Mus musculus: one gene and its partners. The protein of the gene in region 2 interacts with the protein of the main gene of each other region in a pairwise test. Links are inferred from orthologs where the notes say so. Each region holds a gene or a part of one and is shown on either strand. Other genes may lie near its edges.

Evidence for each region. The genes of interacting proteins can lie anywhere in the genome.
Region 1: the proteins of Gopc (region 2) and Mylk interact in binary tests that used the Homo sapiens proteins (3 or more experiments, as listed by UniProt). The two-hybrid records come from large-scale screens. The link is inferred for Mus musculus from reciprocal best matches to the Homo sapiens genes GOPC and MYLK.
Region 3: the proteins of Gopc (region 2) and Myocd interact in binary tests that used the Homo sapiens proteins (3 or more experiments, as listed by UniProt). The two-hybrid records come from large-scale screens. The link is inferred for Mus musculus from reciprocal best matches to the Homo sapiens genes GOPC and MYOCD.

The regions. Positions count from the first base shown.
Region 1 is NC_000082.6:34,780,576-34,790,592, forward strand, and holds the start of Mylk (myosin light chain kinase, smooth muscle), read left to right. Parts: upstream 1-4,374; 5' UTR 4,375-4,428; coding exon 4,429-4,452; intron 4,453-10,017. UniProt on the Homo sapiens protein: Calcium/calmodulin-dependent myosin light chain kinase implicated in smooth muscle contraction via phosphorylation of myosin light chains (MLC). Also regulates actin-myosin interaction through a non-kinase activity.
Region 2 is NC_000076.6:52,376,792-52,386,751, forward strand, and holds the start of Gopc (Golgi-associated PDZ and coiled-coil motif-containing protein), read right to left. Parts: upstream 5,334-9,960; 5' UTR 5,108-5,333; coding exon 4,820-5,107; intron 1-4,819.
Region 3 is NC_000077.6:65,264,347-65,274,369, forward strand, and holds the start of Myocd (myocardin), read right to left. Parts: upstream 5,644-10,023; 5' UTR 5,353-5,643; coding exon 5,298-5,352; intron 1-5,297. UniProt on the Homo sapiens protein: Smooth muscle cells (SM) and cardiac muscle cells-specific transcriptional factor which uses the canonical single or multiple CArG boxes DNA sequence. Acts as a cofactor of serum response factor (SRF) with the potential to modulate SRF-target genes.

The DNA.
Region 1 (10,017 bases), on a different chromosome or scaffold from region 2:
ACTCTCTCTTCCCAGTACCCCCTCATACAGATCCTCCCCCAATTTCTCTCTCATCTTCCCCTCACACACCACACCACATCCCTCCGCAGCACATCAAGTAACTGTAGTACTAGGCACATCCTCTCCCACTGAGGCCAGACAAGACATCTGTTATATATGTGCAGGGGGCCAAGGTCCAGCCTGTGCTTGCGTTTTGGTTGTTAATTCAGTCTTTGGGGGCCCTCAAGGGTTCAGGTTAGATGACTCTTGGTCTTCCTGTGGAGGCTCTGTCCTCTTGAGCTCCCTCAATTCTTCTTTCAACTATTCCATAAGACTTCCGGAGAGCTCCATCTAATGTTTGGCTGTGAGTCTCTGAATTTGTTTCAATTGGCTGCTAGGTGGAGCCTCTCCGAGGACAGTTATGGCTAGGTTCCTGTCTGCAATCGTAACAGAGCATCATTAATAGTGTCCTATGGATGGGTCTCAATTTGGGCCAGTCATTGGTTGGCTATTTCCTCCATCTCTGCTCTATCTTTGTCCCGATTGATCTACTGCACATCTTGTAAGCAGGACACATTCTGGGTTGAAGGTTTTGTGGGTGGGTTGGTGCCTTTATCCCTCCACTAAGAGTTCTTCCTGGCTACAGGATTGGCCACTTTAGGATCCATATCTCCCACTGCTAGGAGTCTCAGTTAGAGTCACCTCCATTGGTGCCCCCAGGGGACTCCCTCCATCCCAGGTCTCTGGCACATCCTAACAATTACCCCCCAGTAGTAAGTGTTCTTAGTTTGTGCCATTATCGTTCATCAGGTTTTAACTCTTACAGATAAAATGTTCTTTCATAGTTACTGAACTTAACAGATAAAAATGTTTCAAGTCATGTCATTGCTTTGAGTTTTCTCTAGTGTTTAAGCTCCTTTCTACTTTTGTCCTGGGGTACCTGAGTCACCCGGCACTAGTCTTATCCAGTAATGCTACTTTGTATTTTAATGGTCTGGCTGAGGCTATCCATGTTACCTTCCTGTTATGAAACAACACACAATAGGGCTTGCCCAGTGTTCTGCAAATGGAGACCTGAGGCTGTGCTCTGTACTCAGGGTTCACTGAAAAACCATGTGGTGGCCCAACAGCCTTCCCTTCTCTGCAGGGAAGACTCTCACAGCCCGTGTCGTTGTATGTTCTCAGACACTCAGAAACTTTCTAGGTGGCTCTAGATATTTCTAGTATGGCACAGGCATATTTCTATATTAACTGGGAAAAAAAGCAATGTGTAAAACAGTATATATAATATGCTGTCATTGATATGTAAGAAAATGGAGACAAAACCATGTCTTTCTTTACCATCTGTATCTAAGAGACGGGTGCTATGGCTGACTCTGGAAGACATGTTGGTGTTAGGCACCTGGGAGTAGGCGTGGCTATGTCTCCGGTGTTGAGCTATAACAGTGCATTAGCTATTCAAAGAGAATAGCTTTGCCCCCTTCCTTCATTTCTTAACTCTTGGGCTTTCAGGACCTTTTCCAGGTGCTTCTGGTCATTTGGCTGCCACAGACGCGTGAAGACACCTTTCTTCCTCTTTGAGTACAACAGAACCTTTGTAGAGACAAAGCCCCACCTGTAAAGCACCTCTTGTGGCTGGCTGCTAAATGAACTCCAGACTTTCTAGACCAGTGGTTCTTAGATTCAGTGAATCAGAAGAGCTTGTTGATACACAGGCTCTAGCATAAACGTTTTAGTTAAGCAGGTCTGAAGTGGACCTAGAAATCTTCAACTGTCACAGGCAACTGACCAGGGTGAGGACCTCGCTAATCTGAAATAGCTTCTCCTTCTCATACGTTGGAGGATACTTTTGGTGTCCTAGCTGTGACCTCATTTTGATGTATGAGGGAATCAAAATTAGGATAGGCATGTTTTCTTTCCTTGGGCATGTCTGTAGTCCACTGTTAAGCTTTCTGTCTAGCCAATAGCACCTGACAGGATCCTTCCTCCTCAGATAGACAATATATATGTACTTTACCACCAGCAGACGGACACAGCAGAAACCTGGCACCTGTTCCTCCCATACACCCTGGAGCAGACATTCTTGTGGTCACTGCTGTCAACTCCCAGTGAAGGTTTAATTGGTGCTTAAGAGGGATACTAGAAGAGGTCCACTAATTGCTGATTTCTTTCCCAGTGCTTCTTTGCAGGGATGCTTTTAGCATCTTAGGCAAGACTGTTCTTTATAATGAACTTTCTGTTTAATGTAGGTAATTGGATCTTCTTTCCTTTGTCCTCAATTCATTAAGACAATCCATCTCACCACACATTCAATGCCCTCTGACTCATTGATCACCAGCCTTTCATCCCTTCCCACCAGGATGGGTGGTGACGGCAGTACAGTCTTCTGCTCAGAACCATGAAATTTGTATTAGCATCCTGACCTCTGCCCCAGTACGAAAGCAACGAACGGCCTTTGACTGCACTTTAGTATTTCGATGGTTTCTTAAAACAGATGCTGATATTAAAAGAGACCAAATGGTAAATGTTTCTTCTTGAGTGTCCAGTGGTGCTCAGTCTATGGTGATGTGTACTCTCGCTCTGTAGGAAGCCTTTACGAATTCAGTTGGGGGGGTGGAGTAGGGGGACATGTTCTCTCATGCCTCTCATCAGCTTTGCTCCAGAAAAAGTGAACTTTTTTTTCTTTTGGTTGCTCCCAAGTGTCATGAAACTTGGGAATAGATGGAATTATTGGCAGATTGAAAAGTTAGCTTAGAATGAGCCTTTCTACACGTACTCTTAAATGCTCAGTAGCTCCGTTTCATGTTTTCTTGTGACTTCAAGACCTTTGAAAGAAGGAATATGAAGAGTCCATGGAACAGGGAAGTACTAATGATTGTAGCCAGGAGAGGCTTATTCTAGGCCTGAGAGTGGGAGTGATGGAATGTCCAGGGGCCTGGCCCTGACTGGGTCTATCTAAGGTGTGGTGGCTCTGAGAATAGAGGAGAGGCATGGTGAGCTTAGAGGCCTCTCTAGCTGGCAGATCATGGAAAGTGACTAGAGAGGATGTGGTACCAGCTCCACACGTGTGGAAAGAGGAGCTAAGGTCAAGGAATTCTCCGCCAGCAGCAGAAGAGCTGAGCTTCCGCTTTGTCTTCCGTCTGACTTAGCACAGAAGAGAAGCAGAAATGCCCATCCTGACTGTGTCCACTTGGTCTTGTGGCCAAATAGGACAAAGTTGGTGCTTCCTGCCAGATGGATGGAGTATCCAGCCAGGAGACCGAGGTAGGCCCAGCCATTGCATTCCTCTAAGAGCCCAGTTACTCACAGTTCTTTAGAATGTGCCTCAAAGTAGGAAGGAAGCCATCAACTCTGTGTGAAGGAGCCCTCTGGGGCTCCTTTGTGCTTCATTAAGGGACCTCACAAGGATCTTTCATTCTGTAGCCTCCTGGCTTCCCATATGCCATGATGAGAGCCCATTTCCCTTTAGGTTTGCCCTTCATAAAGTAGCATAGCTCAGGAAAGGTAGAAACAAGCTACAGAGGGCAAAATCCACGAACCTGCACTTTGAGAGAAATGGGTCTTCTAAAGGCATTAGTTTCCCGCGTAAAAATGTAAAATTTGCCTCCAGAAGGAGCAAAGGTCTCTGAAGAAAGGAGACGAGAGACCTTTAGTGTCCTGGACTTGATGGAGTGGGTGGACTCTGTCGGCTGCCTTGATGTGAATTCTAGAGAAACAAAGAACAGAGGCCCAGTCTGTCAGAGGGACACTTGCCTCTGAGGCCATTCTTCTTCCACACTGTATTATTTTCTTTTAGCTCTGTCAGCCCTTTATCCGTGGCAGTGTCTCTCAAGCCAGGCCTCAGCTTACCCAGGCAACTTCTCCAGAAGACCCTGTCATCCATCTATACCTTCACTGCCTGGAGGTGGCACCCAAAGCCCTTCTCCCTCACCCTCGTCAGAACCAAAGCCCTTCTCCCTCACCTGTGCCAGACCCCTTTCCAGTCCTTCATCCTGACCAGAATACTGCCCATCAGTCTTCCATGGTGAAGAAGGCTCTTCTTGGAACTGTTGTTTCTGAACTCCAAGTTTGTAGCACCCCTTACTATCACCTGTGAGACTTCCTTGAGCACAAGGTAATGTTCCTGGCTGCTCTTATACTCTTTGACATGTCTGTCTCTGATTGGTTTGTCTTTCCTTTCTCCTTTTTTTTCCTTTTCTTCTCCCCACCCCTGTGGCTTCTGAGCTGCAGTTCAGAACATTCCCTGGTACGTGCAGGGCCGGAAGCAGTTCTCCAGGCCCTTCCCTGGCCCTCCTACCAGTTACCACAGCCGACCACAGAGAAGGCACTGGTGAGTCAGCAGGGCTTAAGTACTGCTGCTGTTGACCATTCTGCCTCAGGATCCTGGAGAGCTGTAGAGGGGAACTCGTGTCTCTGCCTGGGTTTCCAAGAGAGCCTTTATGTGAAAGCATGTCTGGCCAGTTACCTGGGAAGGTGAGAGTACAATGATTTTTTTAGAATTACTTGTTGGCCTTGGCTTAGCCAGTAAAAATTTAGAGTCAATGAGAAGTGTCATTGGGAGCAGCCAGGACAAAATCTGAAAGGGTGGAGGGGTGGGGAGGGGGCTTCCAGCTTCTGCTAGAGATTATTCATGCATGAGTCCTGAAACTTCCCCTCCCGACTTTCCAGGGCACCCCTCTGATGAACTCTGCCCAATTTTGAATTCTCTTTTGTCTTTGTAGGGAGGCAGACCTCCTTGGTTTGGAGGATATAGTGGGACCCTGTTACTGAGCCTATAACCACAGCTGGTTGTATGTCAGTGAGCTGTTTCAGGTTGCCTGAGAGAACACACACACACACACACACACACACACACACACACACACACAGATCGCAGATGTGCTCGCCTTCTGTTTATGGAGAAGGCTCTTGTAGTAACAGACACAGAGAAAGCCTGTTGAACACAGATGGTACCTTTTGTGGCCAGTTGTACAGTAGCAAATATTCTCAGGTTTCAAAACCATGGGTCATCCTTTGGTATTTTGTGTATATAACCTGTGTCATGTACATATATAACTTTCTATTGTTTCCACGGTGAGGGAGGTGAGTTCCCTTTGCCACCTTAGGTTCTACCTTATTTTTGAGACAAGATCTCTTTCTGAGGGGCTGGCAAGATGGCTCAGTGGTTAAGAGCGCCGACTGCTCTTCCGAAGGTCCTGAGTTCAAATCCCAGCAACCACATGGTGGCTCACGACCAGCTGTAACGAAATCTGATGCCCTTTTCTGGAGTATCTGAGGACAGCTACAGTGTACTTACATATAATAAATAAATAAATCTAAAAAAAAAAAAAAAAAAAAAGATCTCTTTCTGACCCTGGAGCTCCACATTCTCTCTAGACTACTAGACTAGCTGGCCATCAAGTCCCAGAGATCCTCCTATCTCTGCTTTCCCAGAGCTGGGCTTATGGTGCACACCCCTGGGCCTAGGTTTGACATGGGTACTGGGGATTGACCTGAGGCTCTGGGGTTTATGTAGCAAGCACTTTACTGACTATAGATTGTAAATCATGTCCTCTAGATAGCAATCAAACGGTCCCTGAGAAGTTTGGAAAGTCATGTCTTCACCTAGGGCCAGGATGTCCCAAATCCCATTCCTTTGACCAGTAACCAGAGTCCTACAGGCTCAGTTCCCGGTATTACAAGCTGCTGACTGTGAGGCAGGGGTTCATCTTCAATGACCTTCAGTGTTCTCTGGGACCTAACTGCCTAACAATAGCACATCAAACCGCAGTTGCAAATGCTTCATTGTTAATTCTTTTTCTTATGGCAGCACACGTATTTTTCTAGACTTTGTTACTTGCTAATTCGTATTTAAATATGGAATTTAGTTCTATCTCTTTCCGAGGTAAGCATTTTCTCTGAGCTATTTTGTAGAGAGTTAATGTGCTCCTCTGTAGGTTTCACATTGTCTTGCTCTTTTGTATTGCTCCTTACATTGAGATTTATGCAGCCAGTGGGTTATTCATCTGTGGATGGTCCTCTTAGTAAATTGCTTTCTCTTGGGCCTGTGTCTCAGGAGGCTGCTTGGGACCTTTGCCATTATTGTAACCATCTTGGAGAAATTCCGTCCTCTTTTCCAAAAAAGAATACTAAAATGGCATGCCTTGATACTCATTCATTCATTCAAGAAGTCTTCCTTGAGTGACAAGAGCGTCAAATTTCCTGCTCTAATGTACTTTTCATTTAGAGGGAGAAGTAGGTAGCAACTTTAAGGTGCCGTGGAGAACAAAGTGAGGGGCGTGTGCATGCTCGTTTAATGCCTGATGGCCAAGTAGAACACATTTTTTATGGAGGGGACATATAAGCAAAGTGGAGAGTGAAGGAAAAGCATGGGTCATAGGGCATCTGGATGGAGAACTCTGTTCAAGGCCAAGAGCTTGGCAACCACAAAGATCCTGGGGCTGGAATGAATTAGGTGTGATTGAAGGAGCAGTGAGTTGGCCAGCTAACAGCAGGGGGCTAAAGCAGAATGTAACAGGAAGTGAATTTTGACCGTGGTTAGGGCATTGCTATGGGATATTTACCTGTTTCCTCCAAGCCTAGGAAACTGTGGCCCTCCACAAGCTCCCTTAGCCCCTTTGGCTGTATACATCTGCTTTGATTTTTCCTTCCTCTTCCTCCCACTCAGATAGCTGTTGAAATCCTGCCTTGTAGTAAATAGTTAATCTCAATAGAATGGCGGGAGGCGGGGAGGGCATTATTCTGCCCTTTCTTTCAGTTCCCAGATAAAAGACACAAAACTTTTGTATTTATAATAAGCCTTTAATCAGCACTAGAGCTGGGCAGATATCCGTCCTCTAAGCTATTAGTTTCTACTCCCCTATCTATAACCCTGAGTTATAACTTGCCATGTTTCACCTGGGCAGCTCTTAACTCCAGTTGACCAGCCCTCATGGCCATGTTTTCATGACTCATCTACCCCATGGCTTCTTCTCCTCTCTCCAACATCTTCTCCCCCTCCTTGTGTACTTCTGCCTCAGACCCACAAACCCAGGAGCCAAAACACTGCCTACCTCTCTTCTGCACAGCTACAGGCTGTAGGTATCTTTATTCACCAATCAGGGGTAACTGATCTGGTTACAAAGTATCACTTGGTGTATGTGAGGATTTCTTTATCCCAGGGGCGTTATAACACACAGCAGCAGACCAAACCTCAACATGCAGGCAATGGTAAGGACTTTGGATTTTATTCTGTATATAGTGAACAGCCCCTGAAGATGCTTTGTGGTGTGTGTTGGTATCTGACTGCTATTTGGGAGAGGAGTGGAAAGAGAAGCAGATGATGGGCTCTGCAGTGGTCTATAAGTATCATGTTGGTGGTCGTAAAGTGGTCAGATGAAGGACCAGTTGAAGTAAATTCTGGGTAAGAGGCAGGGTAAAAAAAAAAAAATGCTAGATCTGAGCTCAGTGTCAGGGATGCAGCCTTTGCCTGGATGGAAACCACCACTGGAGAAACACCTGGCTGGAGAGTGGGATATTCTGCTGGTTTTTTCTTAGATAAACTAGTGGAGGTATCCTGCAGGCTTCTGGCTGTGACATTCAGAGATCAGTGGGGAGTCTGGGAAGTGAGAATAGAAAACTGTTGCTTGTATATAAATATGTGATTCTGGATTACATCACCCAGGAAGTGAGCACAGCAGCCACTTAGGGGCCAGGAAGAGAAAGGAGGAGGAAAAGAGGAGAGTATCCTAGAAAGCAAGGGCAGAAACGACTGTCAGGGAAAGAGGAGTGACTGGCTGTGTCAGTGCACTGATGTGCTTCACATCTCCATAGCAACCGCCATGGTGCCTTCCAGGTGTGATCAGGCCATGCCTCCTCCATTGGACTAGCAACTCAAGGAGGCCAGGGTGGATCTGGTCTTCTTTTTATGCTTGAAGCTACTCAAGACTGTGACTTGGTTAAAAGGCAGGTGATGGGGTCTGCTTGCTCCAGCCAGTGGAGATTGAAGGTGGACAAGGAGAAGCATAGTGCTGGGTCTTAGTCACTTTTCTATTCCTTGGCAATAGCAGGTGGCACCCTCTGCTCTCCTTATACGTGTGTAGGCTTCTAACAGTGGGTCCCTTAATGGGTTCCTCCACAGGTGTTAATAGTCTTGTGTACAACTGTGAAGCTGTGATTTTTTTCCCCCTTCATCAGTAAGCCTAGAAATTGGGATTTCTTAATTTGGAATCTCCTGAAGTATCTGCCTATTTGCAGGGAAATGAGCATCACCAATGCTTACAGCTAGACTTTTAAAAACTTATCATTAATCCTAAGTGATTTTTTTTAACCAATGATAACACCTACCTAAAGCTCCCAGGAGAGGTAGGTCCCCTTGTCTGTTTCAATTTAACCAAGTCACAGCTCTGTTGTGTGAGACCCAAAGTGACACTTGTTTGCGCTATCTACTTGGGGAGAAGATTGGGGGTGGGGGGCAAGGAAGACGTTAAGGGATGTCCCGAGGAGAAGGGGTTGAATGGCAGAGAAGACAGAAGGAACAGGAAAGAGCACACAGGTGTCAGACTCCCAACTTGACCCAAATGTGGTTGTAAGGCTCCAACCTTAGGACAGGGGATATAGAAGAATCATAATGGGCAGTTTGAATGCCCATTGCTTGATGTAGCCTAGGGCTCCTTACTTTCTATGTAATCCTGAGTGTGCTGAAGAAGCACAGAGGAGAGCCCTCTTTGGCCTCCTTTGGAGATACCTTTCTCATAACCATGAGTTCAGATCCTTATAGAGAGCAAGGCCCAATGGGACCTGTGTCCAGGAAGGAATGATATGGGAGTACTTTGGGTCAGCCGTGACTTCTTCCTTTGACGATTAGTATGTATCCAGGGGAATGCAGTGGGCCTGAAGATCTGGCCATTTCTGACTGGAAGCAGTACCTAGAGTAGAACAGCCTTAAAGACCCATGCCTTGGTTGGTTCGGAATTGATTTAACCAAAGATCACAAACTGGGTGATTTATGAAGAACAGAGATTTATCTCTTACAGTTCTAGAGGCTGGAAGACAAAGATTAAGAGGTCACATTTTGTGAGGACTTCCCCCCTCCCCCCATTGCTACATAATCTCACGGTAGAACGTGGGTGGGCAAGAGATCATGAGACTCAACAGGTTTCAGCCTACCTTTATGGCAAACCAATTTCCAAAATCTGAGCCTACTCCTGTATGAATGTTGCTTCATACCTTAAAGGTCCTCCATCTCAACATTGAAGTCAGGATTCAGTTTCTAACACATGAGCTTTGGGGGACACACTCAACAATTGAACCCTTCAGAACTGGGCAAAGTATGAGTTAAATTAAATATAGTTTCTTTGCAGCTAAGAGAATGGGATAAGGTTTGGTTATAATTCTTTCTCTCTTTCATGGATGTAGGGAGACTAGAGGACTCGGATAAATAGTGAGACCGTAGTACCATAGGAAAGGACAGCAATACTTTCTGATTGAAATGTTTATGAGTGCTTTAAAGAGATGGAAGCCCATCTCGGCATAAGGAGACCACCAATTGAGAATCCTGTATAAACAAAGAAGACCATTGGTGTGGGTTAAGGGCCCCCTCAGAGTTCAAGCTGGTAATAAGCTTTTAGCCCAGGGTCCATCCCCTGGAGTTTTCCATGGAACTAAATTATAAACTTTTCCAGACAATCCCTGATCATGGGGCCTGATAAAGTTCAATCTTACTGCTAAAGCTATGTCAACATTAAAGCTGCTTTTATTCATTTGCTATCCATTAAAGCCATCACAGATTAATTATTTTTCAAAAGAAATAAAACTATGCTAAAGTTGTGCATGTAACTCATGACCAGATGTTGGAAGTCTTGGGCTACCCTTCCATGCTTAAAAATACTGCAAGAAGTCTTGAAACAGTAAAATCTGAAAATGAAGCTAAGCCATTGAAAGGATGAGCATGAGCAAAACCTTTCACCTCATGAGTTTTACTGGATCATTTTATTTCTGAACAAGAATCCTAAGTTATAAATTAATACTGGATGCTGAGACCTGCATGTAACCAATTTT
Region 2 (9,960 bases):
GGAGGCAGAGGCAGGCAGATTTCTGAGTTCGAGGCCAGCCTGGTCTACAGAGTGAGTCCCAGGACAGCCAGGGCTACACAGAGAAACCCTGTTTTGAAAAATCAAAAAAAAAAAAAAAAAAGAAAGAAAGAAAAAGAAAAGAAATCCTGGCAACCCTCTCACCCCATCTATTCTCATCACCTTTCACTCCTTACTATATAAATAATGCAAAGCCACTTACTGTGCCAGCTCTTTGTGTCTTATCTGTACCCAGCATCTTAATATTACCCATCTTGATATTACCCCACAGTATTCAGCTTTTCCCTTAAATATAAACATGTTCAAGTTTAGTTTTTTTCATTGAAAAACACAATAAAGTAAGTAATTCCTTCCCTGAAGCCTACTTTTGCCTTTCTAAGCTATGCATCCATACCCACCTCTTCCGGATGCTTCTCAACTGTCTCCCCAACCCCCTCCTAACATCAATTTGTTTGTACAGAATGATTTATTTAGCTTGGTGTGGGCCGCCTACATCCTTTCCATAATAATTATAAGCTTTTCTTAAGGAACTGCTGTGAAAATGAGATGAATATGTAAAAAACAAATTTAAGACAGAGTCTAATCCATAGTAACTGATCCATAAGGTTAGCTATATATCACTATTGCTAATAATGTCACAGATCCATCTGTCCAGACACAAGAACAATGCATCATAAAGTTGTCCGAAATTCCTTCATCCCTCCCTCCCTCTAATCCAGTTCTGGACTCTGTTGAATTTTACGTTTTAAGGTTCTCGTGCTCTGAACACTTTATATATATCACTTAGTTTATACTACCATAATGCCACATGGATACTTTGAAACTCTTGAAGAGTTTCTTGCATTCACTCTTATTTTCTCAAACTTTCTGCCAGGATAGCCTATTACATTAAAACTTGGATTTTATAACCAGGAGAGTCTAATCAAATCTATCTGGGACACACATCTAGTTTAAGAATGTTTGCTCCTGTTATGATAAAGCTCTAGTCTACGGCATAGCCTATGCAAGAAGGCAAGTCTGGCTCGCTACCTGCCAATACACATCTATCTGGCATCTCACTTCTTGTGTACATTCAACAATTCCCCAGATTTTCAGATGCACCATGAGCACCATCATACTTTCCACTTTCTAGTACACTGATTTTATACAATGTGAAATAGTATTTCTGTATCTCTTATCTTAATTTCTACTAGTCCACTACAGTCTTGGGTTGAGAGTACTTCCTTCAGGGAGATGGAGATAGGAGAAGCAGAGATGGAGGCAGCAATGACAAGAGTTCCTGTTTCAGAAATAAAAATAATGGAGCTGGGGAGATGGTTCAGTTGATAAAATGCTTGCTATGCAAGTATGTGCACTGAAGTTCAGATCCCAGCAACCAAGTAAAAAGCCAGACCCGGACAGGCATCTGCCACCCCAGGACATGCCAGGGGCTAACCGGCCAGCACAGTTTATCCAAATTGGCAAGCTCCAAGTTCACTGAGAGATCCTGTCTCAAAACAGGAGGAAGATACCTGATGTTGAACTTTCTCCTTTGCACACACACCCACACACCAATCCACCAACAAATAAATACAACAGTACAAACTTAAAGTGGCACAAAATCAAGTATATCATCAGTTTAATGTCAACATAACTTTTGACCAAGGCCTAACACTTCTCTAGTAATGATTTGCACACTAAATCACTTCAAAGAGACATTAACAAGTTCAGCTACTGTGGAAGAAAGACATGTAATAGAAGGTTTATTTTTTTGATTTTGGAAACAGGGTGTCATGTAGCCCAGGATGGTCCCAAATTCAATGTATAGCTGAGGGTGTCTTTGATCTTCCCCCCTCCACTTCCATAGTGTTGGGACTATAGGCAAGGACCACCATGTGCAGTCTAGGTGTATTGTTTTGCTATTATTTCTTAAAAGGAGCAAACAGAGCATACATTCCAAAACAGAGGTGAGTTATTTTAACGCACTGGCTCATGGCCTTTGGTCCTCTATGGCTATTACTGCCACTGTTACTCTTATTTTATTGGTGACTCTAGCTGGGCCTCAACCAACGGTCTCACCATAGCGGGAACTCTCAGGCAGGTAAAAGTTTGAGAAATTTAAGTTGAAATAGTGCCAACTCAAAATATTCTGATTTTTTTTTTCTTCAAACGTAGTCCTTTATATACATCTCTTGCCAAATATAACTTACTGCAAAAAGCTGCTACATGGATGGCATTTATATTTAATTTAAAAGGGAACTAATAATTTTTTTCAGTGTTTTCCAGCTCCTATTCTCTCTCTCTTCCCTCTCTGACCCCTTTCTCCTCCCCCCACGTGTTCCTGTCCAGTCTATTCTCCCCCCTCCAACCCCACTCCCCCATCTCTACTTCCTTCTCAACTCCCCTTCCCATGTCCTAAATAAACTCTACTCTATACTAAAAAAAAAAAGTGTTTTCCCAACCACTAGATTAATTTGATGTAGTATTACCTAAAAACAGAAGGACAGAGTAAAAGTTGCATTTTGGAAGGATATGAACGTTCCTTTTGTGTAAGTATTGTTTGTTTTATTCATTTATCTATATCTGTTTTCTTAAGACAGGGTTTCATGTGGCCCAGACTGGCCTGAAACTTCTGATCCTCCTGTCTCCACCATCTAAAGACTGAGATTACGGATACAAATTACCCACCCTGGAGTTATCCATGTCTTGAGACTATAAAAACATTCTATTATAAGTACTAATCTCTGAAACAACTAAACTTGGTATACGTTTATTACACGGATAGCAAGCAGCGTCACCTATGACTTCAGCATCCTTAAAGACTAGTCAGAAGGCCTAGTTTACTTATTGAGACAAAATTAAGACTGAGTAAGAAAGCACCAAAATCTCTTATAAGATTAACACTGAGGATCTCAGTAGATTGTCAACAGTTCACAGAACATCCCAAGAGTCTGAATATGGCACACTAGGTGTACTTGGAAAGTTGTGACTGGCCATAAGTCTTTTCACAGCAGTACACAGTTATAATACGAAAACTATGTAAGATGTCTTATGTATAAAAATTGTCACAGGTGAATCATGTATAGTTGAATATACTAAGCAGAAAAACCAAATTATCCTCCTCATCATTTCTAAGGTCTCTGAATCAAGAGTTGCAATTATACTGAAAACCACACACTGTGATATGCTAGCATTCTTTACTTTAAGAAGTAATGCTACTTCCTAAGATGGGACATGGACTTAGAATATGTAAGTATAATTTCCTGGAAAAAAAAACACGCAAGTTATTACATGCACAGTCTAGTAGAGAAATATTCTTTCAAATTATTTAAAAATTTAAAAAACTTGAATACCTTCTAGTCATAGGGAAAAAAATATTTTTCTCAAAATCAGACCTTATTGCTAACATCAGAAAGTACTATTGTTTAGCTTCCTTAGGTCATTTAAAAAACAAGTTAAAATTGTTTTATGTTTTAAAAGCCACTTATCTCCAGTATATGGTTAAATATGGAGATGGTATGTAAGTTATTTGGCAAAAGCTACTCTTAATCTTTGATCTTTAAAGCTAAAATACCATTTTAAAAGCCACTAAATACTACCTGAAAACTCAGCTTTAGGAATTACCATTCATTGGAGAAAAAAAAAAAAAATCAAGAGACAGCCTTATCTACACTTAATGCTTTTACATAAGTACTTTCATCCCACTCTTTCCAAAAAGAAACCATAGCATCCTGAATATGTAAGATGCTAATCAAATATTAGTGGCAAATGTTTTTCATGGCTAACTAATATGAAAGACTGTTGAGCACTAAGCAAGGACAGGAAACCAATCTAGCATACACATGAATCTGTACACAACAGGCCCTATCATTATTACAGTTAACAGTAAAGAGGAGCTCTTAAGAAAGCTAAGGCACAAAGAACTTCACACATAACAAAGTATCTCTCTTTTTTTTTAATCCTTTTTAAAATCAAAGAGCTACTCTCTACTGAAATTGTCTATTTTTAAAAGGTTTCCCATATAATGTTAGTACACCATAATTTCTAAATCTTGTAATACTGGCCTAGTTGAATTTTCCACACAAAATGGGAGGTTTGGAATTCCTGTTTGCAATCACACTCCCCTTGCTCTGATTAGAGACCTAAGCAAAGGATTGTCTTTACATAGTCTCAAAGGTCTGAAATTAGGGAAAATACTGTAAAATACAAAGACATACCATCTCACTCAATACTAGAAGTTATTTGAATATTGACAGCTCTAAAGACATAGCTGCCCGTAATATCTGCCAAGTGTGAATGTAAACTGAGAAGGTAGATAGGAACATATATATTCCATTACATTTCCCCAAGAGCTTTGATCGGATTCCCCTAAGTTCATGCATGTCTCTGTGTACAGACACGGACGTTGATCTGGGCTATTGGATGAAAATAATCAGAGCTGCATCTGTCTGAAAATACATCATCTAGCTTGTCATTATCAAAGCAGAAGAGGAGAGTTGAGGTATTCCCCGACAGAAGATCTTGGTAATAACACCTACAAGGCAGGTAGTGTGATTAGCTCCTGTCCCCACCGCATGAGATGCTGGGAGGTGGATGACAGGACGTCTGGAGACCCACACATCAGTCTGCATCCTTTTCCTCCCCCACCCGCTCCGCACTCCTTTGCTTCACTCACGTATAAAACGCACTCTCCATCGCATTCGAAGCTGAGGTGTCCAGTGGGTAGGTTTTTAAGGATCATTTTCCTAGTGCTTTAAATGGGATCTAACGACCTCGGACAGCCTGGGGTTGAATGCTATTGCTGCCAGCCCCCGAGGCTCACCTCAAGCTTGTGGTTGATCTGGGACACAGTCTGGGCTTTGTGGCATAGCTGCGCAAAGCAGGAGCTAAGGCTGGTCATCTTCTGACGCCCCTCATAAGTGATGTCCGCCTGGTCCGGATCGATCTCGCCCAAAAGCAGATCCACATCCACGAAGGCCTTGTCGAACTCCTTCTCCAGCACCTCAAGCCATCGGAACATGGACACCCCGCCAGGGGAGACCCCCACAGGGCAGGAGGAGCCCCCTGGGCCGCCGCCGGCTCCCGCCGGGCATGGGCCACCCGCCGACATGGCGCCGTCCAGGGCCTCGCCGACTGCTGCTCACTCTGGCCGCCCGCCCCGCGCGAGGGGAACTGCTAGCACCGCGGCGCCCCCCGCGCGCGCGCACACACAGACACACACGCACACACACACAGACACACACCCGCCGGTCCCCTCCCTTCCCTCGCGCCGCCAACGCCGGCAGCGCAGCTCCAGAGCAGCAAAGGAAGCGGGGCTGAAGCAGCGACAGCGACACGGAAGACCCGCCCCGCCCGCAAGCCGGCCCGCCCCCGCCGCGCGTGCGTAGCGGAGCCCAGAGCAGGCGCAGCCCAGAGGGAGAAAGTGGGCGGGGCCGTACGAGAGCTTAGCCAATGAAAAGCCTTCGCCTCCACAAGCCTGTCTGCGACCATTTTGACGACCGGCAAAACCCTGAGAAGCAAAGGGTTGAGGTGGCCCCTTGCAAGTGGGGAAGACCGGAGGAAGGGAAGGGAAAGATTCCACGTCGCAGAGGGGACCGGCTTCCGCCAGTTTGGCTTCACAGTGGGCCTGGAACCGGTCCACAGACGTCTAGCAAAGTTGCTACTGGGGTGTCAAGGGGCTCGGGTGGGAGCGGGGAGGGCCGTGTGTGCATGCGCAATAGCCACGTTTTCTCTTCCGATTTCCAGCTCTTAGGGCGGGAGGGTGGGGACACTGGCTAATGTTGCTAAACCTGACGGTGCATTCCAGCCAGAAGCTGCCTATGGAAGCTACTGAGCAAGTTTTGTTGAATCAATGGTTCCTCCTTCTATGATTGACAAGCTGGGGTTCTAGGCCAATGTATTATTACATACTAGCTGCCCCACCTCAGTGGTGTTACCTTGCTTGGGTAACAAGGTTTCCAAAGTTTACTTCACTTGGCAATTAAGGTAAAGTGAAAGTGTTATCACTTGGTACATAGCACTCATCTTACTGCATCACAGATCGTATATTTCTAAAGCAACCACTTGGGATGCTGTAATCATCTTATAAACTAGTATTGTGCTCGTTCCCATGTTATTTTCATATGTTCATAAACATTGAATACATATCCCGATTGAGGCACTGAGGACATAAAATCTAATGAAACGACCTCATCCAAGCCGAACTAGTAAGACAGTGAGGCTCTCACGACTTTTAATTCCAGTGTTGCGTGCATTTGAGAGCATTTATCAAGAGCTTTCTTTGTGTCCTGCCTCTCATCTCTTCCACTTCTCCAACTCCACCCCTGTCTAAACCAACAGTAGACTGTCCGGAAGGGAAAGGAGAAGCCAGACTAATTAGAGTAGGCAGGTAGGAATTGTGCTTCCTGACTCGCCTACGGGAGTATGTGGAAAATTAGTCCATAATCTTTCGGAAGTTGTTCTTGGGACGGACCTTTCTAATAAATCATCAACCAAAGTCTGCATGGCATTGTGTGCCTCTCATCAAAGCAGTACCAATAAGAATTAAGAAATAACAGATTTAGTTTGCACTCTGGTTACTCCAATGCATGACTGCTTACCATCAAGCAAAAGCTATTATGACTTCAGCAAACTTAGACAAGTAAAACTAACCATGCAACTCTTCCCTTGAGTTTAGTCAGAGACTGTCTCATAGGCTTAGTACACAATAGTATAAAACATCCTCTTCGAATGGTTGGTTGTATTTTATATATAAATATATAATAAAATAATTTATCTATATCTACCTACCTATACACACACACACACACACACATCCCACTATCTGCTACTTAGCAGTAGATGTGACTATGTAGCAGTTGCCACATCCTGTGTGCTCATTTTCTTGGTATTCAGTGGTGACTTTAAATGTTTATGAGGTTTCCTAATAGAACATTTTGCCCGCTTTGATTTGGGATTTTGCAATTCTGGAAGTCACAACAGAACATGAATGTGGAAAAAGAGGCTTGATGGGTGTTTGGCCTAAATGTGTGTGTGTGTGTGTGTGTTTGCCCTAAATGTATGTGTATGTCTGTGTATCATAAGCATGCATGGCTCTCACAAAGGCCAGAATAGAGTACCAGACCCTCTGGAACTGGAATTACAGATTCTGTTAGCCACTATGTGAGTTCTAGGAACTAAATTCCTCTTCAGCAAATACTCTTATCTACTAAGCCATCTCTCCAGTCTCCTTGCCTACCACCCCTCATGCCAGTCTGTTATATTTTTGTATACAATATTTGCAAGAACACTGAGAAAACTCCAGGCTATTTTCTCTAATGATACTTCTCCCTGCCTGCTGAGGAACATGAAATAAATAAATAAAACTTACTGTGTGAGAATGGGGAAATACTTGGAACAATAACGATACCTTTTAATTAAGAATGCTCTATGTATAGAGTTATTTCTTTGATTCTCAAAGCATCCTACAGTAAGTATAATTACTCTTTTATAAGTACATTGTAGACAGATTAAATGTTTTAGTAATGGCACACAGCAGACATTTTAATGTAGGTCTCTTTGGCATTAGCTACAGGATACAGAAGAATAAGGAATCTATTTCATATTGCTAGTATGAAAAATTGGCAGACCTTTTGTGAAAGCCTTTTGAGACAGTATTTCTCAGGTGTATACATATAAAACTATAAACAACGTGTAAAAATGCATTTCCCATTGTAACGCCTTTTAGATAAATCACACAAGTGCAAATTATATTTCTTTTAAAATACCAAATTTACTAATTACGTGAGAGACTCTGAAGTATATTTTGTGCTTATGTGACCATTCTTTTATTTTTTTAATGAATGAGACAATTTATTAACCCAGCATCCATCTAATGCTTCTTGTTGGCAGTTGCCACCTGTCCTGAGATCCTGTCCAGATCTCTCTGTCCCTGAGGTGTTAGCTTTCCGCCCCCATCTTGGTCCTTTTCCACCATTTTCAGCCCCTCCAGGGCTTGGAGGTCCCGGTGGGCCACACTCTTAGAGCCGCTGCTGAAGTGGCTGGGCCTGACACCATTTCTCTGCCTTCCTCTGTAGATCTTGGTCATAGAACCAACCCCTGCACCCCCGTGGAGGTACAGGTGCCGTGCTGTGGAAGCAGCTCATGTGTAGAACCAGTTCTCATATGGGGCAAGCTCTTTATGTTTGGCCAGCTTGACTGTTTCCACCCATTCGGGGACTTTCAGCTTCCCGGACTTTTTGAGGAAGGCTGCCAGAGCTCTGACGAACTCCTGCTGGTTAATGTCTTTTACAGTAGCTCCAGGCATCCTGCGGCGCTGCCAGCCAGGGGAAAGGAGTGACCATTGTTCTTATGGCTGATAATGATCCTAATTTTCAGCATGAAAGAACCCAACTTCATTTCTATCACAGCCTTTACAACTTCAAGTAATGCCATGTCATACCTTGGATGTCTCAGGTTAGTTTCATGTCACATGGTCACATGTCACATTATTATACTACATCTTATGGACTGCCACATTCTATGGACTCATTATCGTAGTATTCATTGATGACTTTAAATGCACATGAGGTGTCCTAATAGAACATTTTGCCTACTCTAATTTGGGATTTTGCAGTTGTGGAAGTCTCAATAGAACAGGCAAGTGGAAAAAGAGGCTCAGTGGTCAGGTGCTGCCATCTGTTGTCAGTGTGCTCTATCTGCATTTGTTGCTTTGTCTTTGCTGGCATTTGGACTTGGATGTTTTGTATTGTGACACTTTCACATGGCTTTAAAAAGACTGTTGGGTTGGGAGATATTTCCAACTCATAAATCATGCTTGTGTGATTTAAAATAAAATAATATAACTAAAACTAGTCTGTCTTTAATTTGTCATTGTTGCTTTGAGACAGGGTCTTGCTATGTATCTCTCTGGCTGGCCGGGATCTTGTTTATAGACCAGGGTGGCCTAAAATTTCTAACAATCATCCTGTCTCTGCCTCTCAACTGCTGAGTTTCAGACATTCAGATTGACAATCTTGTTTTGTTCATATTGAGTTTTACCACTAAAGACAGAGTGAAGACTGAGGAAACCAGAGAAAGTGGGAAGATTCTGGTGTGTCCTTTGGTAGTTGGTTGGTATCTGTAAAGTCAGTGAATGGTGTAGATTCCTCTAGTGCACCACCAATCGTAGTGACACTAGAAAATATGGAAAGCCTGCCTTGCACAGGCTAGTGAGACTATTGAGTTTTAAAGTCTACTCTGTTCCAAGGTTTATGCTAAGCATTCTGTGTTCCCATTGATTTCCTGTAGCCCTGCCAGGAGTAGGAAAAGAGATTAGATTCTCTGAGTAGTTTTAAACAGTTGTATGATGGGTTAAGAAATGTCAGGAAAGTATTGCCATTTTCTTTTAACAATGTGGGGAAGCCTCAGAACATTGTACTTATTTTATAGTCATGATATTTGTCAAATAAAATTGTTATGATTTATACATTTGAGAAATTCATACAAAAGAAGTAAATTTGAGTGTTTTGGGGTGACTTATTAAGCCACATTCTTCCTCTGTTTCTTTTAATATAAATGGGGAAACTCCTTGTCTTATTCTAAAAATGTGAGAATTTTGGTGGAGTGACTTAGGGTTAGCTCAGTCACCTGCCTTTCTTTTCTCATGTGCAGCTGTGGATTCCATTCCCACTTAGGGTTCTGCAAGTGTCTGCTATAGTGCTTTGTGGTCGCCATATGAAACACCTTAGCAGGTAAGCCCTACGCTGGGACCTGCTTAGGTTGAAATCTCAGATGCTAGCTTGGGAGATGGCTCAGCAAATAAAATGCTTGGTGACCAAGAATGAAGGCCTCAGTTGGGACCCTTAACACCTCATAAAAGAAGTCATATCTGGTGGTGTGCATCTATGCTCTCAGTGCTTTGAGACAGACAGGAGGCTTCTGGGGTCTTGCTGGTCAGCCCATCCAGCTGAATCAATGAGATCC
Region 3 (10,023 bases), on a different chromosome or scaffold from region 2:
GCCACCTCCAAACTCCAGAGTAGACCCTACTTTCTGTCTTCAGAACATGCCCCTCCTAGTCTCGTCCGCTTTGATATCCCTTTTGCATTATGACTCTCTACACACTGCCCTCCTTTGGGACGTAACTATTGCTTGCGTGTGAAGAGCTGGCTGAAATTCTCAAGAGTCTACTCACCTCTCTCTACATCCTCCTTTAAGTTAATTTCAACCCATACCCACGTACCTAAAAAAGATGGCCTTTTATTGATTTTTGAACAGTCTTAGCTGGGGGATATGACACGTATTTATTTCTGAAGTCCCAAGGATCCAATCCCGAGTCTCCTACGCACATACTGTATTCCTGAGGGACATCCAGCTCTGAGCACATGTTTTGTGGGTTCCCTTTCTATGCCACGCCCTGGCCTAGGTGGTAGAGAGTAAAAGGCTGTAAACCAAAAGCAGATAAGAATTTTTCTTATACACATAGAATAATAATATACCAGTACATAAGTAAAATGTTTAGTCTGTGCAAAGGTTTGGAGTGGATAGGAGATAAAAATAGGGAAGGAAGAAGGGCCGGGCTTTTGCATCTAACTCAGATAGGGAGAGAAAGCCCATGCTGTATGAATAAATCCACTGCTATCAGACTTGGGGACGTGACCCAAGTCTGACCCTGAAAGTGTCTTTGCCTTTTACAAACGATTTAAAATATCACTGGACATGGAGGCACATGTCTCTAATCACAGCACCAGGAGGCTGAGGCAGGCGTATTACCCATCCTGGGCTACGTAGTAGGTTATAGCTAGCCTGGCCTAGAGAGTGACCTGGTCTTGAAATTAATTAATTAAAAGATGAATTAAGATACCTATTTTAAAAATTAATCATTTAAAGCCCAATTCAGTACAGTCTCTCTTTTTTTTTTTTTTTTTTTTTTTTTTTTTTTGGTGTTTTTGAGACAGGGTTTCTCTGTGTAGTCCTGGCTGTCCTGGAACTCACTTTGTAGACCAGGCTGGCCTCGAACTCAGAAATCCGCCTGCCTCTGCCTCCCGAGTGCTGGGATTAAAGGCGTGCGCCACCACGCGTCTCTTATGACAATGCTTTAGTGTTTAAATTTTAACACTTGTACTGTTTAAAATTTCACAAAAATAGTTAAGGCCATTCAGTTGTGGGAAAAGGTAAAGTCTTCAGGCTGAAAAAAGCTTCAGAGATGAATCAGTTAAAACCTTCGGTTTTGCACAGGACAAAAACAAGATCTGAAAAAGCCAAATTAAATCGACATCTCTATAGGTTATATGTCATAGGAAAGGCCTTATTTTAGGTTAAATTTCTTGTCCCAAGCTCTAAGACTAGCTAGTGGCTCAGGCAGCACGGGGATATTTTTTATCATATAGTGGACATTTCTTCCCATAGTGTCTATGATGGTAAATCAGGGGTCCCCATCCCCATCTAAAGACCTCAGCTTGTAAGAGAGACAATCCAGTCTGGTTAAGGGTCTAGATTAATTAGGAACTCAGTAAATCTACTACATCATCTGCAGGACGAAGAAAAGAGGGACAGGAAGGGTCTAAAATCCCTCAAGGAAGACCTGGGCTTTCCATTGGAGAAACTACTCACATACGTGGGGGCCTGGATCCTGGGCATCCACTGCCTGCCTGGATTGTCCCCAGCTTCTTTTAGCTATAGCTGTGCAGTATCAGAGTCTCCTCTTTGCCAGGAAGGCCGAGATGAACCTGCTGTCCTCCTTCCCTCTGAATCCTGGGTCTGCTCGTGGGCACCAGGGTTCCTTCTCATGCCGTCCCTACTTCACGCTGAGACTTAGCTGAGATATGTATTCTGTATTTTGGGGGACCCAAAATCTCAAGAGGCTCATGGGATATTGGACAGGACAGCAGAGTGTTGGAAAAACAGTCCCAGGACTGTAGGTGATTGCCAAGGAAAATACGATAGGCATAACGAAGTGCGTTTCAGAGAAAACTCCATCCTAAATATTGATAAATACTGAAAGCTTTATCATTGTTTGTTCAAAATTAAAACTGAACAGGGTGTTCCGTATTCCTGTTTGCCAAATCTGACAATTCTACACTTGTGGGGAGGGCAAGGCTGGGCAATGCCAGGTACCAGAGTTAGCCTTGGTTTGGGCTGATTGAGATGGGTAACAGAGAGAAATGGGAGAAACAAAACAAAACAAAACAAAACAAAACAAAACAAAACAAAACAAAACAAGGAAAGGCATTGTTTCTTTTGAAACAAAACCCACAAAGGAACCTCTCCATTTTTCTTTTTATCTGCTTGTATTCCTGTGTGGGCCCTTGACCCAGAGAATGATATGAAGAAAAAAACTTCAGAAAGTTACACCAATTACAAGAACTGGATTACGAATGAGAAAAATGAATTCTGTAAAACGTGGTCGATTTAAAAATAACAACCGTATTGCGTCTAAGCAAGCTGCCCTCTACTCGCCCACCAAGGCCACGCAGCCTCATCAGCTCACTTGTTCCCACATGATCTTTACACCTCCCAGGAGCCACGGACAATACCAGCGTGGCCTAAGAAACCACATCATTTCACCTGGACATCTACAAGCTAAGAAACCAAGGTCTAGAAGGAAGCCACGGGCGATTGATGATCCCACTGCTATTCGTCCTGAGCACTGTTTGGCCAGGGCTCACCAGCATGTCAATGTCCTAACTCAGGTACTTGTGTTATCAGATTTATCTCTTCTAAGCACCATGAAGTCACCAGCATTCTCCACGTATGAGGCACGTAAGATGCAGAAGAGCTATGATGCTGGCCTAGGTTAAAGGTCATATAGCCAAAACCAAAGAGGTGATGGCTTGAAAACCCAGCTAGTCTGACCGAGACCCGCACATTCAGCCATGACACCCTGCTTCTGCTAGGTAAGATTAATTAACATCACTAAACATGTTCACAGATGTAAACATTCTGAGTCCCAAACTTTCATGGCAGGTCAGTCAATCACACGTCTACTTGTAAGTAGGGAGTTGGTAAAACATGGTTGCTGCCCACGCCAGTTTCAGAATGAGAGGGACTGTCTGGAGATGGTGGACGAGTCCTATCACAGCAAGCCCATTGCTATAATCGTAAGACAGTTTACTTTCAGTTAGTTTTGAAACATTAATTTTAAAATCATACTACCAGGATCTACTATTGAAGTGAATATTCACTGCTATATACGAAGTTTTAGAGTTGGCAGCTGGAATCCCTCAAGAAAGAAATGGGGGTGACTGAGAGGGAGGGAGGGAGGGAGGGAGGGAGAGAGAGAGATATCAAGGTGAACAAGAGACCTTCCTCATTCATTTTTAGACAGAAAGTGAAGCAAAGTCCCCTAGGCAGAGGCAGTTAATACAAGGCCAGGCAGGCCTCAGGGCCACATGTCCACCATGGTCACTCTGTCCAGGAACTATAACCAGTAGCCATCAACTGATTTACAATCTTACAATAATGTTTTTCTTTCTCTTGTGTAAGATTATCAAGCACAACACCTAAGATGCGCAACTGGCTTTGTCTGTCATCGATTCCAGTCCCCTCAACTTTTAAATCAAAGCTTAAATTAAGCTTCCTACTTCTGTATTATGCTTCGACAAACTACCTTCCTTATGACAAAAATGCCTGAAAAACGTGGGATTGGTGCCAGGCAGTGGTGGCACATGCCTTTAATCCCAGCACTTGGAAAGCAGAGGCAGGTGGATTTTGAGGTCAGCCTGGTCTACAGAGTGAGTTCTAGGACAGCCAGGGCTACACAGAGAAACCCTGTCTTAAAAAAAAAAAAAGTGGGGTTGGACTTCTTCAAAGCTCCAGGATAAAGATTCGCAGGGTCCAGGTAGAGACCTCAGGCCTGCACAATCCACTGAGTTAGGGGTTAAAATAGTGCAAACAGTTTTCCCTCTCCACCATATTTCAGCTGAGGAATTCCTTGATAAGTCTGTTTTGCAAGCCCACTATCAAGAACATCACCAAATCCTTTTAGAAATGATCCAGCAGCCTCTCCCTGTCCCTCCGTCTACCCCATTAAACTGCACGGGAGCAGTTGAAATAAACTCAGCTTTATGCAAAAACAAAAATGACATCCTTGCTCCCTCAGAAAGGTGGCAGTATTGCCTTGTGGTTTTGAGCAAATTACCAAGCATGTGAGGTCTCTGATGAACAAACTAACCACCTCACCTCAACATGGAAAGGACAAACGTGCATGGCTGACCCCGGTGGCTAGTGGTTAGGAGACACACCCCAGGCCTCCAGAGGCACTGTGGCTCCTGGCCACTTCAGCTCTTAAGTTTTCAACTTGCCTCACTAAACAATCCTTCAAGAAATCCCCAGAGTGTCCCATCCACACCTAAGGATCAGGAACAACTGAGGTGGTTACAGAGGCTCCTTATGGCCCATCACCCACTGTGCACAATTTCTGAGCCACTCATTTCAAGACAAACAGTTGAGTAGCTCCTTCAGAAGGACCAAGGGAATTGACAGAGTGAGTGGCACCAGCATCAGCCAGCACCTGTTACATGGAAGGCTCACACCAGAGCTATCCACCAAAATGTTCGTTCTTAGAAGGTGCCCTGCCATCATTGAATGGCCCTGTTACCACTGTTATAAAAGCAAGAATGGGCAAAGCTAGGTAGCCCTTCCAGGATGCGAACGAGGGAACACAATCCTGCGTCTTCTGTAGGCCCCCACGTACCCTTTCCTTATACTCACCTCTCCTGAGTGTCCCTCCAGAAGTTTCTCTGTGTGCCACTAACACAACAATTTTAGGGAAAATTGTCCATTTATAAATATCAGATGGTTTGGGAAAAAATATTTGTGGCGCTGGTTTTTTTCCCCCATGGTGATGTCATTTAAAAATTCTTGGTGTGCTCCAAATTCGCTATTTTTACTTCCTCCAAGTGACTTTTTTGGGAAATACATTTGTTTGGATTAGCTACATGTTAAGTGACCCCTAGACGTCTCACAGTCCTAGGCACATTGTCTCAGCGGTTGTAACTGATAACGCGCCCACTCTATAACTTCAGATCCTGGAGTTGCCCATTTCAACACAGTTCCTTTTGGGTCGTCCCCTTAAAAATGTCTATTTACCGATAAAGGAAAATATAGTAAAATAAAGTAAAACATTGGATTATTCGTAAACAAAACTCAAACTTAACACAGGTCAAAGGGAAGACATTTGAAGGCATTCAGTCAAACACAGTGTTCATTTTGGGGAAACAGAGGGAAGGCCGCCACCTCAGGCCCGAAGCATTCATTGTAAAGCAGTTGAGTGGTAGAGATGAAAAGTTTAAGGAGTGCTGAACGCCTTACTCTACCTGATCGGAACTTCCTTCTAATCAGCAAAGAGTGTTCAGACCCCAGGAGTGTCATGGTGAGTCTCAGCAAGCCGCTGGTCGTTGGCCAGGCGCCCCGCTTTCCACCAGAAACTGGCTCCCGGGAGCCCAGAGGACAGCAGCTAACAACCCAGAATTCATCCAACTCTTGGGGAGCTCCCTTGGGTAGGAGGACGCACAGTGGCCGCCAGTGTCCCCAGAAAACTGGCGCCTCCCCCCTCGCCGCTCGCGAGGCTAATTAACTCCCAGCAGGCAGGACCCTCCTCCTCTGAGGGTGGCCGGGAACAGCCGCATCCTAGGCGTTCCTGGCTGATGTCATAGGCTGCCAGCGGTCGCGGAGTACCGCCACCACGCCTTTATGAAGGTCCCAAGTTTGCTATCTGATCCTCTTTACTACTGACAGGAGATCAGCCAATCAGGAGCGGTGAGCGGGGCCTGGGGACCAGACGCGGCCCCAGGAGTCTTAACAGCCGGCTCTTAACTCTTTGCAGAATAGTGCGCCAAGGCTGCTTGCCCAGGCGGGAGTCTCTGCACTGGCACCCCTAAATCGGATGCCCGAAGGCTGCAGGCGGCGCCCGGCGTGCAGGTGGCGCCTGGCGACGGTAGGAGTGTATCTGCTTGTCCTAGGTGTGCATGTCCCTGGTGTCCCCAGCTTACTGCAGGGCTCTGGAAGGTACATCTCCAGAACGCGCTGGAGCCTGGGCCAAGAAGCTGGGTTGGCTTGCAACTCCCGGGAGCACCCGCTTCCCCTCTGTATCCGAGCGGTGGTGCTTCAGGAGACCGATGCCTGGAGCAGCTACTGAGCGGCTGAAGAAGTGGCAGAAAGTCTTTCCCTGTGGTTGGATGTTCTCTTTGGATTCACAAAAAGTTTGTGTCTGGGGACTGAGCCCAGAGTGCGATTGGTGCAAAAGTTGAGCGTACTATTGAGCACTCAACAGGGTAGGATTCGGTGGCCTGGGCAAGCCAGATCGGAAAAGTGCAGAGGTTTTTCACGTCCCTTTCATAGTGGGAAAGGGACCCAAAGAGGCGCTGAGGATGCGCGTCTCTGGGGTGCCTGGGGTGACAGGGTCCCACGTGCATCATTAAGTACAACACATGTTCTAAGACAAAGATTTAGATAGTTGGAAAAAAAACATTGAACTGCATACATACAACACACAATTTGCCACTATTTGCAACTTTATATGCACGTGAGCTCCCAGATACAATTCTTTACATCTCCCCTTTTGTCTCAAAGCTGTGAATTCTTGAAGAGAATGACAATGACAGGTGGAGGCCTAATGTAACAATATCTGTTAGGGACTAATCTCTGCCCTGATCCGGGGTCTTCTGCCTCTATCAACTGTTGCTGAAGACACCCTAGGGTGCCCAGACCTTCCTTTTTCCCATTCTCTGGGTTGCACCAATGCACTTGAATCTTGGAATTCGTTTTCTGAGATAGGTAATGCTCCTCCTCACTAAATCAGAGAGGAGGTGGAGCCCTGCTACTCAACTTCCTCTTGTGAATAGGGTTGGGCAGTACGAGCCTACAACAGGCTGCCTCCTGTGGTAGCCTGGCAGTGGTTGTGCATTCCACAAGCAGTGCTGAACTGGGCTGTTCCTGTGGGAACAGATCACAGCCGCTTTAATGGCTTACATCAATCCCGATTCATTACCTTGCAGGTTTGAAGGCTGGGAGTCAGAAACTGGTCTCACTGAGTTAAAAAAAAAAAATCAAGGTGTTGGCAGAACTGTGTTCCCTTCTGGAAGCTCATGAAGAGACTCCATTTCCTTTCCCTTTCCAACTACTAGAGGCCACCCATGTTCCTTGGCTTCCAGCCTGTTCTTCCATCTCCCAAAACAGAAATTGTGGGTCAAGTTCTTATTACATCTTATCAGTCTAGCTCCTCCCTCCCCACCTTCTGCATCTCTCTCTGAGTTAACCTTACTTTAAGGAAAAACTCTGTCAGGCTAGCTGATGATGAATCCTTATTCCCACTTGCTATGCAATGTAACATAATTGCAGATGCCTGAACTTGGAAGTGAAGGGGAAGATGTTGTATTGTGTGTTACATAGAGAAGGTCTCTCTCGTCCCAGCTCATCAAAGAAGAGAAACACAACAGAGGAAGGACTGGGAGGGGTCAGGCCCGCATGTCTAGAACAGCCCTAAGCAGGGTTGAGATGCATGGGGCAGGGGCGACTCCAGAGAAAAGAGGTAGCAGGATAAGGGACATCACAAAATTATCCCATGGAGGAAACTCTGTGAAACATGAAAAAGAAAGAATAGAAGGAAAGACCCAAAGGAATGTTTACACTGAAGACAGCAAGGCTGAGGAGATGCCCACGGCAACTTAGTGGGGCTTTCTTTATTCAGTGGGAGTTGTGATAAAATCAGCTGAAGGATCCAACCAAGGGTCTTTCTGACCCAGAGGGACGGAGGGGGTTGGAGTGTGTGCTTGTGGACAGGACCACAGTCCCTCTTTTGCTGGCTTTCTTTTATTGTTATTTAGTGAGATTAGTGAGATGAGGTCTCCCTGCCCTAGGATTTTTTTTTTTTTTTTTTTTTTTTTTTTTTTTTTTTTTTTTTTTTTTTTTAGTTTTCATCTCAAAAGGAGTTTATTCATTAATCCTTAAAGTAATATTTTAACTAATTCTTCAAGAATTTCATATTATCAATTTGGATCATATTCATGCTCCCTACCCCAACCCGATTCGATTCAGATCTCTCTCCACCTTCCTTGCCTCCCTACCCATCCATCTCTGAGCTGCCCTTGAGGTATTGTCTTCCTCCTCCTCCCTCCTCTTCCCCCTCCTCCCCCCTCCTCCTCCCCCTCCTCTTCCCCCTCATCCCCCTCCTTCTTCCCCTTTTGCATTATTTAAAGCCATTGTGTTAGGTTTGTGTTGTTTAGCTGCTCTTGTGAGTAGAGCCTGTTCAGGTTGACCACAGTCTTGCCTCAGCCTCTGGAGTGCTAGAATTAAAAGAGTAGAGCAGCATGCCTCCGTTCTTATTTTCGCTTCCTGGCTTTCTCCCTTCCTCTTTCTCCCATCTCTCTGTCTCTTGGTCTCACCCCACCCCCAGCAGCTCCATGGATGAGTTGGGAAACCCTGATAACCACAGTTCTCCTCGATTTTTCCCATCAGAGAATAGAGCAGCTGACTTCTGCCCTCCGGGATTTCTAGCCCTTATGGCTTTGGGATATCTATGGATATAAATATGTGCATTATAGAGGCTCATCCTTTGCCCTCTATGCTCAAATATTTTTATGACTTTTTTTGGTGGAATTTGGACAGGCTGTTCCCCCAGGAGAATGGAATCTCAGACAGCTGCTGTCAGAGTGTAGCCTAGCAATGTAGCAATGGCTGCTGCTACGATCTTACTCCTCCATGATGATTCTTCAGTATTCTTCCCTTTTGCTATGGAACTTTGCTTCAATTTATTTTACTTTACTGCTAGTCAATTAAAAAAAAAACTGTGTCACAAATTATAGTAACATGGCATGTAAAGACATGCACTAATGGAGCCCACATGCAAGGATGCTCTCTCAAGATTGTAAATTCTTATATAGGGATGAAAAGAATACATTATATAACTATAAGGTAGAACTAACAATCTTTATTACTAAACTGAGAGTGAGGATGCTTGCCTGTAAGCCCAGAACAGGGGAGGTAGAGGCAGGAGGACCAGGAATTCTCTGTCATCCTCAGCTAGAGAGGAAATTCCAGACCAAGGCCTGGGGAGACCCTGTCTAAAAATTAAAATAAAACAAAGAAAGGAAAAAGTCTAAACAGCAGCAGCAGCAGCAGCAACAATAACAGCAAAATTCATTGTCCTTTTTTGATGCTTCCTTGCCCCAGAGGCTTCAGGACAATGTGCTCATGGGTCTGTGGTGCTATAGGTAAAGACCATCATTGCAATAGACCATTCCATTTTTACCAAAACAAACAAACAAGCACACAAACTTCATTGTTACCGAAAACCATACTCTATTCATACTAGTGCCATTTGGCATTCTCAGCAGGCCAGCACATGGTTAAGGGGAGGTAATACTATATAAGGGGACATGAAAGTCAATGCCGGCTCACCTTAGAGCTCTGTCCTCCATAGCTGTGCTTCTCAGCATGAAGGTTAACATGGGAATGGTTGTGTTCATAGGCCTGAGCCCGGAGCATGGCTCAGGAGAGTCAGCTTGAATTCGGATCCTTAGAGGCTTCCTTCCCTGAGTGCAACATGAAGTTCGATAGTGGGTCACAGGCAAGTGCAGCGTGGTCAGCTCTCCTGGGTAGGTCCAGGACCTGCGTGCCTCCAGGAGGAGGCTCCGTCTCAGCGTGGTAGCTGGAAACCCGGCTGAATCAGTTTTCACAGTGATCTGGAAGAGTCCTTGGTTTGGATGTCTCCTGCTGTCTATAGTCTCTCTTCTTCCTTTCACAGATCTGACCACTTCTTCTCCCTTCACACACTCTGAGAACGCATTCTAGGATCTGTCTGTGTCACCAAGGTAAGTACCTGCCTGTCAGGCAGATTTGCAAACTCAATTAACTTCAGTGGGAGGAGAGTAAGAAAAAAAACAAACAGACAAACAGACAAACAAGAACATAGAGGTGAAGGGTAGCATTCAACAGATGGAACACCTGGTTGTTTGTGTGGTCCCAGGCTCTCTGTGGCCACTTGGGAGGAAATATAGACCTATACCACCCTGCTCCACAATGGCTCAGAGAATTGGAAATCCA